Danio rerio: one gene and its partners. The protein of the gene in region 1 purifies or fractionates together with the protein of each later gene. This does not show direct contact. Links are inferred from orthologs where the notes say so. Each region holds a gene or a part of one and is shown on either strand. Other genes may lie near its edges.

The links.
Region 2: the proteins of stat1b (region 1) and ep300b purify together in Homo sapiens (affinity purification with western blotting; 10 studies listed by BioGRID). This does not show direct contact. The link is inferred for Danio rerio from reciprocal best matches to the Homo sapiens genes STAT1 and EP300.
Region 3: the proteins of stat1b (region 1) and irf9 purify together in Homo sapiens (affinity purification with western blotting; 5 studies listed by BioGRID and IntAct, with this or other methods). This does not show direct contact. The link is inferred for Danio rerio from reciprocal best matches to the Homo sapiens genes STAT1 and IRF9.

The regions. Positions count from the first base shown.
Region 1 is NC_133184.1:42,946,791-42,951,800, reverse strand, and holds the start of stat1b (signal transducer and activator of transcription 1b), read right to left. Parts: upstream 3,567-5,010; 5' UTR 2,583-3,566; coding exon 2,455-2,582; intron 1-2,454. UniProt on the Homo sapiens protein: Signal transducer and transcription activator that mediates cellular responses to interferons (IFNs), cytokine KITLG/SCF and other cytokines and other growth factors.
Region 2 is NC_133178.1:23,768,094-23,772,594, forward strand, and holds part of ep300b (histone acetyltransferase p300), read right to left. Parts: intron 3,431-4,501; coding exon 2,972-3,430; intron 658-2,971; coding exon 424-657; intron 30-423; coding exon 1-29. UniProt on the Homo sapiens protein: Functions as a histone acetyltransferase and regulates transcription via chromatin remodeling. Acetylates all four core histones in nucleosomes. Histone acetylation gives an epigenetic tag for transcriptional activation.
Region 3 is NC_133187.1:13,853,174-13,858,317, forward strand, and holds the start of irf9 (interferon regulatory factor 9), read left to right. Parts: upstream 1-2,103; 5' UTR 2,104-2,184; intron 2,185-3,119; 5' UTR 3,120-3,167; coding exon 3,168-3,224; intron 3,225-4,089; coding exon 4,090-4,212; intron 4,213-5,144.

The DNA of each region.
Region 1 (5,010 bases):
CTTTACTTTCGCTCCCGTGGATAGGGAAACATGTTGTACAAACAGACATTCATTAGTCCACATAAATAATTTAGTTTGTTAAGCGCAAAGATTTTTTTCAAAACTATTTCTAAATTCAGTTCTAAATACCAGCAAACGAATAAATGAACAATAATAACGAAGAGTGCTCAAAAAACTGAGTTATATCCAAATGCACATGCTGTGCCCCATATGGTCTAAAACCTGACAAGTGGACAAATATAAGCTTGTTTTTAATAAAACAAATATAAATATGCAGGGGCGATTTAAGGATTTTCATTTTAGGGGGGCTGAGCTCCTTATAAGGTAAAAAAATTGATATATACATAAAGCTTAATATTACATTTATAAGTAGTAATTTAATAGTAATACACTTAAAAATGTTTGTTTAATAAGGCTTGTATACTATTATTCCATTGTATTACATAGACAGGCATAGCCAGATTGAGTTCTGAGTAAGCCAAGTAGGCTCAACCCACCTGTTTACCATAGTAAAAAACACTTTCTATATTCGAGTGCATTTGTTGTGCATTTCAGGTATTCAATAAATAAACTGCCACTTTTCTAATTAAATGACAAACATAATATTCTAATTCACATATTTCTAATTCACATATTTCAGGATCTGAATGATAATAAATAAGAAGTATTCATTTAGTACTAGACAACACTTGATGTTTCTATTTCTGTCAGTGACTCAGTCACAGTTAAAACTTTGAGTACATTCTCAAAGTGCTTCTGTCACTGTGTTTAATGCTTTTTGTGCAAGACTGTATGGTATAGTTAGTGCCAGACGAACTGTAAAGTGTTTTTATTGGTAGTTCATTTTGAAATAAAAATTGTGAAATGTTCGTTAAGAGTTACTTTTTTCGCTGGAGGAAACAGCTGTGCTAATGAGGTGAACGCAGAGAAAACCCCACTGCTCCTCCATGACACTGGGATACAGATGATACAAGGTTATCTATATCAAAGAACTGCTAATAAGCAGACATTATAACACCTTGTTCTCTCGACGTCCACGGCTGTGGTTTGCTGATCAAATGAAAAAAGAAAAGAAGGGGAGGAGCGGAATTCTGCCGCTGTTTCATATTAAATTTAAAGGTGACTGAGGCAATAATTGAGTGTACAGTTCATGAGCTAATCGCAAAAAGTTTTAGGGGGGCTGAGTAGAATAGGCCTAGCAACACCCATGTAAATATGTAAATAATAAATAATACTGCTAATAATAATAACATTACACAAAAGCAAATTGTAATGAATAAACTAAAAAAGCCCCCAGAGATAAAGAAGGCATGAAATTATGGTTTTTATATTTATGTAGGCTAGAAAAGAATATTTTTGTTATATTTTAATCCTTGAATCCTTTTTAATTTGTAAAGATATTTGTGTATTGCTGTACACCTTGTATGTATTAAGCAATGTGTCAGCGAGGTGCACAACTAACCTGCTCTGCGCTGGACTTTAGACCTGCTTTGATCTGGTCTATTGAACAGACAATTTAATTCTGTCACGGTTGCAGGTTTGTGCACCTTTCGGAGTGTCTGTTTGGTCACGTGGGTTTTGTTTTGGTTGTGCACGTGTATTGGTTATAGTCACGTGCTATGACTATACTCTCTGTTTTGATTAGCTCACCAGCTGAGGCTTACTATCGTGCCTATATCTGGGCGACGCTTCTATGTTTCTTTGTCAGTTCGTTGTGTTTGCTCGTGGGTCTGTCTGTGCTTAGGACTGTGAGGAGGACCCCGTTCGTCTGTCTGTTTCCTACCCTGTTTTCCCAGTTGTCCTTGCACACGCATACAGCCCTGTTGGTTTGTTTTGACTGCATCAAATAAACACGTTACTTGCATTTGGATCCTTCTCTAAATCTTGTTTGATTGTGACAAATTCCTTAAAATAGCAACGTGCCTTAATACACTTGGTTTTTTAGACCAGAATGCCTATGAGCGCTAATGCATTTGTTATTTAAATAACGTGGTGCAAAACGTCAAAATGACTCTTGCACCATGCAGAAATTAGCAAACAACCTTTGAGTCGCGCCTTGCGCCTCATTGCACCGGGTGTATGATAGGGCCCAAAGTGTTGACCTGCTTTACTGTGGAAAAAAAAACATTCATTTACACTATATCGCCGACCCTGTCTACTTCTTCCCACAACAAGACCGATTTGTCACAGCGGTGTTTAAATGTCTGTACTGCACTTCAACAATGCGACTAAAATCAGCATACTCCACATGTCTTAATTCCATTTCTGTTTAGTTCGATTATGACTTTAATCGGATTAAATTAATCAAAAATCGCTGTTTACTCTTAATCAAAGAATTGTCCTAATTGTCCGGATTATTGGTGTCCATGTAAACATGCTCTTTGTCTCAAAATGATGATGATTGGTAGCAATTTATTATGCAAAAAATTTTTAATCATTATTTTAAAATCTCACCAGTCATGACTCTCAATCCAGTGACATAGATATTGTCGGATCTCCATTGGGAAAGCCTCATCGTAAAGCTGGTCCACTTGCTCCAAATACATTGAGTCCAGCAGCTGCAGCTGGTTCCAGAGCGTCATCTGCAAACATAAAATTGCAACCCGTTATGCAACCCTCTCTGCGTTGACATTTCTCACCAAGCACCTTGTTTTATGAAATTATTACTTTAGTTATTATTGCTTTTAATATTATTTCCATTAATAATAATAATAATAATAATAACAGTAATAATAATAATAAAATAATATTAGAGAGATTTTTAAAGGATCATGGAACTCTAAAGACTGGAGTAATGAAGCTGGAAATTCATCATTAAAATCACTGGAATAAACAATTAAATTAAATGACAAACTACTTTTGAACAGTTATTTTATAGTGCAATAACATTTCACAATTTTACTATTTGTACTGTATTTTTGATGAAATAAATACAGCCTTGGTGAGCAGGAGAAGCTTATTTTAAAACATTTTAAAATCCTGCTGACCCCAAACTTTTGACCAGTTGTGAATATAAATACATATATACATTTTTCACAATAAATGGGACTTTTATAAAATATTATTTATTTTAATTAATAATTTAATTAAAAGTAGTTATAACTTTACAATTTAAAATGTTTGATTTATTTTTAACTCATTGTAAATTGTAAAAAAGTTTAATAGCCATCAAGCCCATGCATATAAAATCTTTTGCATAAAAGTCATGCAGATATGATCAAAAGATATGAGAAAATGAAATAGCCATCTACAGCAGAAAATTATTTTAAGAGATCCCTAAAGCTTCTAATCTATGCAATTAATTTACTTATTTAAAACGTTTTCATTTTCTAAAATGTATGAAATGAAATTACAAATTACATGATATGACATTCACTAATATTTCATTACATTATAAACAAAAAGCTGCTTTACGTGGCATTTCATTATCTCCAGCTTTCCCATAGCATTTTGCATGAACAAACTCATATAAAACGCATAACATGTATTACCTTTCAACGTGGACGTTTAGTCAAGTCACTAAAGGAGTGTATCTCGGGATAAGCAGATAAAATACGCGTAGACTAAACTGTCTGCTTCAGCCTTTTATTCTCCTCAGTGACTTCGTAATTATAGAATACTCACAGAGGTGGATGTCACATTAACTTCTCAGGCCAATGGTAACGCTTTAACTGCCATATTTAAATACACCAGCGATGACAACCAATCACGTTCTGATGCGTACAGTAAAAGCACGCCCCCTAGCCAATGGCTGTTCCAGGGAAGCGCAGCCCTCCCTTTACTCTCACACTCAATACAGAATAGGAACTGATAAGAGAACAGAAACTCAGCGAAACACAAAGATGTTGTTATGCCTTTTGATGGACGGATACTAATACTTCATAATAAGATGATAACATTTCATTATTTATTTCTTAAGATACATAAGAATAGCTATATGATCAATAAAACGCGTACGGAACAGAAAGTTCATGCTGAGATGCTTGTTGTCAGGGGGAGGTTACGAAACTCATAGCACAGCCACTAGCCATCGGGTAAGCACACGTTTTCCGAGAAAACGAGAGTTAAAATCAAATGCTGGAAAGAAACAGAAACGAAACTTGGATTTGTCAATTCCATGTTATGTTTTTGCACACCACTGGGTGAAGGAGTCCTAATAAATACCAAACTGTATAAATTTAATAACACTATTCACTTAAATGCTCATTTTATACTCAATATAACAAAACACTAAATCATTTATTTCGGGAGTGTACTTACTGTAAAGTGTTTTGGTTTGACTTTTCCAATTTCATTAAATTCTTACTCCAAACTTGTGTATATACCCCAAAAATTATATTCTTTGGTTACTTTGTACTTAGATCATTCTCTTTGTAAAGGTACTATTAGTTCATTGCTTTTTCTAGCTAAATTTTATATCTATAAATGTAAATTTTCAAAGAAACATCCTTTTTTTTTATTATTAGGAAGGATTCTGATGTATACGTGAAATACTTAAACTTGAATAATTATATTGCATTTCTTGTTGTAAAACATTTAAACTTTTAGACTCTTGTTTTCTCTCTTTGTTCATATTGTATCTTTGTAAATGTTAAATGTTCTTAAATGTAATCTAGCACAGACGATTATTCTGGTAAGATTTTACTTTTAGCTTGAAACAAAGTACCAAGATAGAACTGCAACTCAAAGTTAAGTATATTTTATTATGAAGACTCAATCTCAATATTTTGTATATTGTCTTTATTTATAATTCATTATTCATAAGTGTAAATGGGAAATAAATAACCTAGTTTTACTTATTAATTACTACCTTTGTACATAAAAAAACAAGAAATAAAAAAGTGAAAAAAGTTTCAAACGTATTATCTTAAATGATTTGTTACTATTTACACCAAAATTTGAGAATGGATGTCTTGTTGTTAATTATATTTTTATTACTTACTACTTTTTCTATGTTTTCCTTTCATTGAATTATTATTTTTGTGCTATTGCCCTTGTACAATACCTGAC
Region 2 (4,501 bases), on another chromosome or scaffold:
TCATCACCTGCAGGCTCCTCCTTCTTTATCTAGCGGACCAATCAAAATAAAGGCCAGTTTATACTTTTTATCAAGCGGGTGTGGATGGTGCGTCAGTTTTCCCGCCTTTTTTCTACCTTAAAAGGGTGAGTTTATACTACTTGTACATTAAGTCAGCATTGCACATATTTCCGGAATAAACAAACCATCCGCAAAAAAACTTGCATGGAAACCCCAGTGCCTGCTAGCATTTTAGAAGGGTTACCGCAGATCAGTACAAACAGAGAAGTATAAATGCATGACTACACTCAAGGCATGCACTGTGGGTTATAGCAATCACTCAAACAGAAGTATAATTTAGCCTTAGGGTTAGGGATGGGATAGAAATTAAGCTGGAAAAGAAAGAATCAGTTTTAACATGTAAAAGCTCTTTCCCTCGCTCACCTCTGGTTTCTCCTCAGACTTGATCTCGGTCTGCATGGCGGCCATTTTCCCTGAGGCCTTGTCCTCAGTCTCATTCTCATTCTCTTCCTCTTCATCCTGCTGTTTGACCTCAGTTTTGGAGTCAAGAGGGGCTGTGGGTTCGGATGATGTCAGTTGTGAACTAGGGTCAGCACTGCTGACTGAGGCAGGAGTCGAGGCCTGACCGTCCACAGTCGCAGATGATTTCTGAGAGAGCTGAGGGGTGGTACCACATCAGAACAGCAGATCAGGACAAAAAGCAATGGCACACCGAAATGAAAGGCAACAGCCAAAACAAACCAGCTGTTTCTAAGAAAAATAGCTGAAAATGTAATAATAATTATATATATATATATATATATTTTTTTTTTTTTTGTGGCCTTTTTTAAATAAAGGTACAAAAAATTATAATTTAAGTGATTTATTTTGGTGTTTTAGTTTAATTTGTAAATATTCATTTTTTATTATTATCTACATAACTTTGTCTATTTTAGTACTTTTTAACAATGTTTGATTTATTGTATAATTCTTGTATTGTTTTTTTAAGTTGTTCAGTGACATCAGATGAAAAATAGCCTTCTGGCTAATTCTGGTGCATTTGCAGGAATGCTTATTAATGTACACTGTCCCTGCCAAATAAACAAACAAACATTTGTGGTAAAAACTATCCAACAAATAAAAATAAAAACATTAATTATAAAATATAACCAATTTATTATTTATATACAGTGCTCAGCATATATAAGTACACCCCTGACAAATCAATTTCAATTCAAATTCTGTTTAATAGAGAGCTCTACAATATTATATTTGAGCATATACATTAGATTAGTCAGTACTGAAGCAAAAAGCTGGAGCTTATCTAAAGAAATAACCAAAAATAGCCAAAAACTAGTACACCCAAATTTATATGTTATAGAAAGAAATTAAATACAAATCTAAAAAAAAGGAAAAATCAAGAAAAGCAAAAAAATAAATAAAAATTAAGTTAAAATTTTGTAGATTGAATATTTTTTGCAATATTTTGCTTGAATTTAATTGTATTGTCTATCAATTTCTAAATATGTTTGGTGACTAAAACATTATTTTAATATATATATCTGTTTATTAAATGTGTTTTGTTTAAATGCACCAAAATAGATAGCCTCTATTCATTGAGAAATAGATACAAATATTAATTTTCAAAATTTCAAAACTCAATTATGAAAGAAAGAAAATACTTTTCTTTATTATCTTGATTCTCATCTCTGCTTGATCATTGATTAACTGATTCGCAAGTTCTTTTAAATTCAGCTTCTTCTGCCAGTTGTATTTAGGCTTCATTCATTAATTCATTCTTCTGTCATAGCTGTTAACAAAATGAGTAAGATTTTATTTTCTGCAATAATCCAAAAAGGAATTTGAAAAAAAAAATCTGGATTTTTGCCAATGAATCAGGGTGATGCTAACTGCATCATTTTGGCATGTTTTGTCGTCGTTAACAAACAGGTAATAGTAAATTAAAGTCAGAAGGAATGACTAACAAAACAGTAGCATAGGAGCTGAAGAAAAAAATAGTGGAAAACAGCCATTGGCCAAAAAACAACCTCTCAAATAGCCAAAACTAAAAAGAGATTTTAATGGCTGAATATTTTATAAAGCATCATAGATAATGTAGTGTTCACCACAGATTCCAAAATTAAACCATTTGAAATTTGTAAAATAAAGTGTAAAATGCAGAAAAGGCTTCAACAGAATAAGGTCATACAACATTACACAACATAAGGTCTGTCTTTAAAAGTTTTAGGGTTTTAAAAATGTAAAGTTTCTCTATATATATATAGTGCTTTTACTTATAGAATATTCCCTTTTGCACATTTAAAAAGGTTTAAGAGAGCAAAGAATCCAACACAATCTCAGGGCAATTAGTAATTTGATGTACTGAGAATATTGTATGAATTTATATAACATACAAAAAAAATCAAAAGTCTGACACTTTCATACAATTTTAAAAATTATATTTTAAATAATAATAATAATAATAATAATAATAATAATAATAATAATAATAATAATAATATTATATGCATTCAATTCTAACTAGCCAAGGATTAACCAAAATATAAAATAGCCAATTTTCCAGTGAAATCAGGTTGAAGAATCAACTTAAATGAGCTCAAAATGCTTTAGCGCTTACTCACTGAGTTCATGCTCTTAAATCATTTAATTATAGCCAACTAGTGTAAACAAAGCACATAAGAGATTAATGGTGGAGTTAAGTTATACCACAAGCATTCAAGCACATGGGTCGACTTATACTGAACTCAAATATTTGACCTCTTCACAGTGAAACATGCTCACTTTCTTTATCCAATTTGAATTAATGCTGTTGGTCTCGCTAATACTTTATGCTTCAGGACTCCGTGTCAAAAGGGTCAGTATGTGTTATCGGAAATCAATTAAGTCTCTAATGTTGGGCTTGAGTTGTACTTTCTTGTTATTTACCAAATAAACAGGGTCAAATGAAAACACACTCGATTGTGATACTCACAGGACTATGTGGGTGTGTACAAAGCCCGTGGGCGTTCTGGGAAGGCACAGATGACGCCAGCCCTGTTTGGGGGCCTCCAGTAGCTCCACCTCCATGCGACTGCTGTTGTAACTGACTGGATTTTTCGGAGGCCACCCCCTGTGCCATAGGGGGCAGCTGTGATGCAGGTGGAGCCATAGTGGTGGATGAATTAGGGGTGTGGGGCTGAGGGGTCTGGTTACCAGGCAACTGCGGGGGTGTTTGGTGCGGGGCAGGGGTAGGGGTGAGGCTACGTGCGGGAGAAGGGGAGTTTTGGCGTAAGGGAGGACAGTGCGTGTGCAGACCGGGCTGAGGAGCAGGTGGAGGGTGGTTGGACGGAGGCCCCTGAGGGCCAGCAGCGGCTCCAGAGACTGGGACTGACGACTGGGACTGAGCTACAGGACTATGGACTGATAGTGATGGTGGAGTGGGCATCTGATTCTGAAAAAGACAGAATATAAAAGGATGAATCTGATTGTTTTACAACATTAATAAGTATTTAAAACATTTTCTTTAGTGTTTTAGCTCACTATATAGCTCAATGCATTAGAAATGCTGAAGTGATTGTAAGTTTATGGTTGAGTTCAAGGAATTGGTTTAAAAACAGATTTGAGAGTTCACTTAAAAAAACAGCATTAATACGCCAGTTTGTTTTAAAATGATTCTGTAAATGAATTCTGTGCGTTACTGATTATATTTAGTACATAGGGCTGGGCGACAAAATAGGTATTGGTATTTAATGAGTGAACACGATTGTCAATATTGATCAAAAAAAGTTCAGTATAATGTTTTGTTATCAAGTGCTATAGTTTTATTAAAATGTGGCTGCTGAGCACTGCCAATAAGCTTATGGTGCAAGTTTGTCATTTCCAATGGAGTCGTGTGACTTGCACGTCGTGCATATGGGAGCAACGCACACATGTTGTGCAAGCGGCACACACCTACGCACAATTTCCAGGCGCATATAGTTGAAAATATCACAACTATTCCGAATGCCGCAAGCGTACCACGACTCATGTAAGTAGAACTAACTAATCTGCTTCACACTTATAGAATATATTCACATATTTTCATATTACACACATCTCGATAATAACGGCAGACTAATTACCTCAGACAATCAGAGCGCATCCAAACACTGATGTGCTTTTTACTTTTCTCCATAAACTTGTATCGAAACTGCAGCAATGGTTTGTCTATTTGTCATCCTCTGAGAAAACGGTTAATGCCTTAATGTTAGGGGAGAGCAAGCGCAAATCGCATAGAAAATGGTGAGGGACACCATGCGCTCACACTTGTCACTTCACGTCAGAATAACAACACACACAAAAATGAGTGTCGTGACTAGCAGCAGTTAGAAGATTGTAAATAAAAAAGGATGTAAGTATTGCTAGAGTGGCTTTTTGGTTTCTTTTCTTGTGGTTCCCAGCCACTAGCTCCCCATCTGAAAGATTTTTTTTTAGCTTAGGGGGTAATATAGTCATTGAACTCCACTATTTGTAATGTTGCAGT
Region 3 (5,144 bases), on another chromosome or scaffold:
TGCCCTTTAAAATAAAACCTGACAATTGTCTTTCACATATATTCGGAATAAGCATGTGTAAGTAATATAAAACAATCTCATATCTTTTGCTTGTTTGTTATTTGAGAAGTAGAACGCAAGGAAAGTGGCCACATAGAAAGACACTGCAGCGCTGGTAAAGCTAGTGGGTGTTTACAGCGGTTTGACTTATAAATATAAAGTTGTAGCTAAATTGTTAAAAATGCCAAGCAGCATTTCCCATTGTTTATATTCTTGTTTACGTCCTCACTAAAGATACTATTATTGCTAGAAACTGTGCTTGTAGTTGTTCAATTTTAACAAATAAAAATACTCACAGGTTGTGGCTCACAATCCACAACTTTGTCTGTTGAAGGAGTTTTTAGCCGAATCCAGTACTGAACTGAGAAAGATTCTGGAAGTTCTCCTTTATCAAATGCTAACTATATATTTTTTATAATTCTTCAATTGGAACATAATTAAAATTAAACTCTAAGCGCTTCTCTTTTCAAGCCATGTCCTTTAGAATCCCAAAAACAGAAACAGAACATGTTCTGTGGAAAAGCAGCATTTAGACGGCATTTGAGCTTTCTCAAATTCTGTTTTTTTCAGCTCTTGTGATCTCACTAGCCCTGATGTATTTTTTTATAGTCCCCAAATTTATTCACTGTAGGCTTTGCAAAGCTAACTCCCCAATGTCTGCCTTTGCATTAGATTTGAGCATCTTATATTTAGAGATGTTGTTTATGTTCACACAGCTACATTACACATCAACTAAAGTTTAAAATATTATATCTTAGTAGACCACCCCTTCAAACTTGCTACTTCTGAATTTTTTTCTAAATAACAGCTTTTAGCATAACAAAACCATTAAAGCTGTAGGTTTAAGTGGGCTAAGGACGAGGACAATGACAGGATTTTTTTTTTCTTTTATAGTGTAAAGTGTTTTTAATGTTTTTTTTTTTTTTTTTTTTAAATCAGAGAACCAAATGAATGTACATTGCTTTACAGAACAACTCAGATTTTTTTACACTTTTTACTTCAAGGACAGATATGTAGGTTATATATACACCAGCAGGGGTCGTATTTAACAAATAGGTTAACAAATGGTGATAGACTAATACAGTAAGAGGAAATACAGAAACACTATCCTCACAGTTATACTGTGACCATTGTTTTATTCTCTCTCTCTCTCTCTCTCTCTCTCTCTCTCTCTCTCTCTCTCTCTCTCCATATATTTCTCTATAAAATATGCTATCTACTTTACAGTATATGCTGTATAGACCTAGGACGAAATAATTAAGTAAAAAAATTAAAGCATTTTATTTGTGTTAGGCAGTAGCCATGATGAAAATCTAAGTTTAAATAGAATATTAGTAAATGACAGCTAAATCATGGAATACTTTGCATTTCTTAGTTAAACTTTTTTCACTAGATGCCGATTATTGTTTTCCGCTTTTTCTTTTTTCTTCCTTTTTACATTTTTATTTATTTATTTATTTATTTATTTATTTATTTATTTATTTATTTATCTTCGTGTAGGCTTGTATCATAGGCTGGAACCAGAGCTTGAACAAGAAATCCGTGCTATCACGTGATTTCTGGGAAGAGCGGCGTTTTTTTTAAATGAATGAAACTGGCAGAAGGGAAACTGACAGAGTGAGGCACTAAAGTGGGTGTTGCTTTAAAAGTCCTTACGCATTAAGGCATTTAGACTTATTAACCAAAGAAAATATAAAATAATATTACTTAATAATATATCAATCTAATTAATTATATCAATATAAAGCCTACGTTCCAGTACTTTACGCATACGCAAAAACAACTGAAGGCTGCGGCACGACGTCACGTGGAACTGTAGACTTTTCTCATTGCTGTTGAAATCGATGTAGTCACAATCGTTTAAGACGGACGAGGAAAGTCAATTTAAAAAAGGATTTTACTCTACACGTTGTCAATGTTTGTATCCTATGCCTTGATCTGAATAAATGATATTGTATTAATGGCATAATAATAATAATTTGGCACTGTGAGCTGCCGAGCGCCCCTTCAAATCTGAGAGGCATTTAACTAGGCGTAAACAGCCTGGTTCGCTCCACTGCTTTTGCTTTCATTATTTTTTGTGCGATGGGCTGGATAAACTGTGATCTACAGAACGACTGATACTGCACAGGACCGACACTAAAGGTAATTAGAAACAATGTACATAATGTCTATTGTCTAAATGACCTTAATCTAAACTTAGAGTTGTCCATTAATCTCACGTACAGCATTAGAATGCAATTATTTGATGTAAATGTTTTTAAAAGAAAAAAGTTGAACAAACTAAATACCAGGTAACGTTATTTCATTTTCACGCATTGTTTTATACATGTAACTGTAGTAGCTCATATTGTTTACAGACATTCTGTGGTAACTTATTGCAGTTAGGTGTTTATAACTTAGTACCGCCGCTCCCTATAGTGCGCAGGCTTCTTAGGGCACTATAAAGTGGCAATTCTATCGGTGACTCTATTGATTTCCACAAATGAAAAAAAATAAATCGGTTTAAGTCGTAAACGCAGTTTAAAGGAAATGTGAATAGTATAGCTCTGACTGGTCAGTTTTAGATTTCTGGTAACACTTTACAATAAGGTTCATTAGTTAATGTATTTACTAACATGAACTAATCATGAACAACACATGTACAGCATTTATTTATCATAATTGAACATTTAATAATGCATTATTAACATCCAAGTCCATGCTTGTTGACATTAGTTAATGCACCATGAGTTAACATGAACTAACAATGAACAACTGTATTTTCATTAACTAATGTTAACTAGCATGAACAAATACCGTAGTAAATGTATTGTTCATTGTTTGTTCATGTTAGTAAATGCATTAATTAACATTAACTAATGAACCTTATTGTAAAGTGTGACCAGATTTCTTTATTGTTTTATAGATGCTGAAAGTATCAAAGATTAAAACTAATCCACATTCCAACTCGATCAGTTCTAAAATTGCTTTGACATATTGCAAAATTGGAACTCAAATGAATTAAAGTTCTTATTTTTAATAAACCATTATGAATTTGTGTAAATTAAACAAATACATGGTATTTTTTATTGTTACAGGTGTTACAATTATCGTAACTGGAGCTGTCATTGTATGATTCTTTTCAGATGGCATCTGGAAGGATACGCTCCACACGCCGTCTGCGTTCATGGATAGTAGAACAGGTGTGTAAGGAGTGTGCATAACAGATATGATTTCATAGAATCATGTGAATTACATAAGTTAGAAGGAAGAGCAGTTCATTTCTCAGACATTTAGGTTCAAACTGGCATGATAAATGTTTAATATCACCTTTAGCCTCCGTTTTAAAGCTACATGCCGCAAGTCTCCCATTCCGCCACCAGTGTTCTTTAGATGGTGACATGGTGACCCTGGGGGTCATTTGAGGATAGTCAACTGAACCTGTTAGCATGTTTAAGCTACCCGCATTATTTGTGATATGAGATGTACTCTGGTAGTAGCCATAAGATATAAATATTATATTTACAAATGGATGGACATAGTAAAAAACACTCATGTTAGTTGTTTAGTGGTGCTTAAAAGGAGCTCAAAGTGTGCCAAGAAAACATCTACCACACGTCCAGCATCAGCCTGAACTGCCTATACAAGGAAGGGATCAATGTTTTATGTAGTTTACATCAAATTTCGACCTTACATCTGCAGGCCAGGCAACATTTTTGAATCTACTATTGTTAAATTTTGGTTTCCTGTTTGTAGCTGATATAATTGGCACACAGTGTGGTCTTCTGCTTTTGTAGCCCATTTGTTGCAAGTTTTGGCGTGTTGTGCATATAGGGCTTTAGTTATTGTTTAAGATACAACTGATCATGTCAATCAAACACATACAAATTTCAACCTCTAATCCTTACGTCAGTAAATAGCACATTCTGAGAAGTAGTTTTAGATGTTTTTACTGGTTTAAACAGCAAAGTCATGCAATTAATTTCTCGCAAAGCTGTCTAATTCTGCTGTAGTTTGCTGTTGTTGAGTTAGATTTTTATTTTTCATTGTGTGTGCTGTGGGATGTAGGTGAATAGTGGGAAGTATCTCGGCCTGGTTTGGGACAACCCAGAGAAAACCATGTTTCGCATCCCATGGAAACATGCAGGAAAACAAGACTTTCGCAGTGAGGAAGATGCAGCTATTTTCAAGGTACAATGTGTTTTTATTTTCATTTCTCGTTTATCTTTGTTTCTGTCTTTATGGAATTCATGTTAGACAACAGTTAATTCTGGAGTTTCATTGGCTGTTTCTTTAATCCTGCAGTAGTTATATCTCTATAACGAGCGCATTCACCAATTAGTGCAATCAATTGCTCAGACTATGACTTTAAGTCAAGAAGTTTGTATTGAAGGCACAATATGTAAGTTTTTTTTTTTAATAAAATAGTGTTTTCATGATACTGGAATTTGATACCAGTCAGTAATGATATTTTAAACATGTCCATTTCCCGTTTACATTTGAGCGTGTTCTTAAACAGCGCTAATTTGCCATTGTGTTCACAAGCCCAACAGAAATGACTGTGATTGGCCGTGAGGGTCCTTAGATCACCAAGCTCACCACAGTGTAAACTATAGATACAGGGACACTGGAGCATTTCAAAGCCATGAAGATCAGTTGATTCATCATCGAATCGCTCATATGTCAGCTCATAAACAGACCAGCTGATCTTTGTGTTGTCTGTACCGCTTGCTTTCACTTTCAACAGATTATTAATTGGCCTAACGTTAACCGTGTGCGTGTGATCATTCTTTGATAATTACACACGGTATGTATTTCACCTGCTTTCTTTTGCTTACAGTTATTTTTATTGATTTGGTTCAATTAACATTTTTTCAATAACATTGCTTTAATGGGACATTAACTCCCCATTTATGTGTAGCTAACTGGTGATCTGAGAGACCTTTATCTAGGACAGATTACTGTGCATAGTTTTAGATACATGACAATAATTATTTTTTAAAAGTCAATTGTTTTTCTTTTTTTTTTATAATTTTTTTGTTAAATAAAAAGTACAGTATACAGATATATTCTGCTTGTTTTGACACAGCTAAGAAGTAATTATTGTTTGCTGTGGTCAGAGA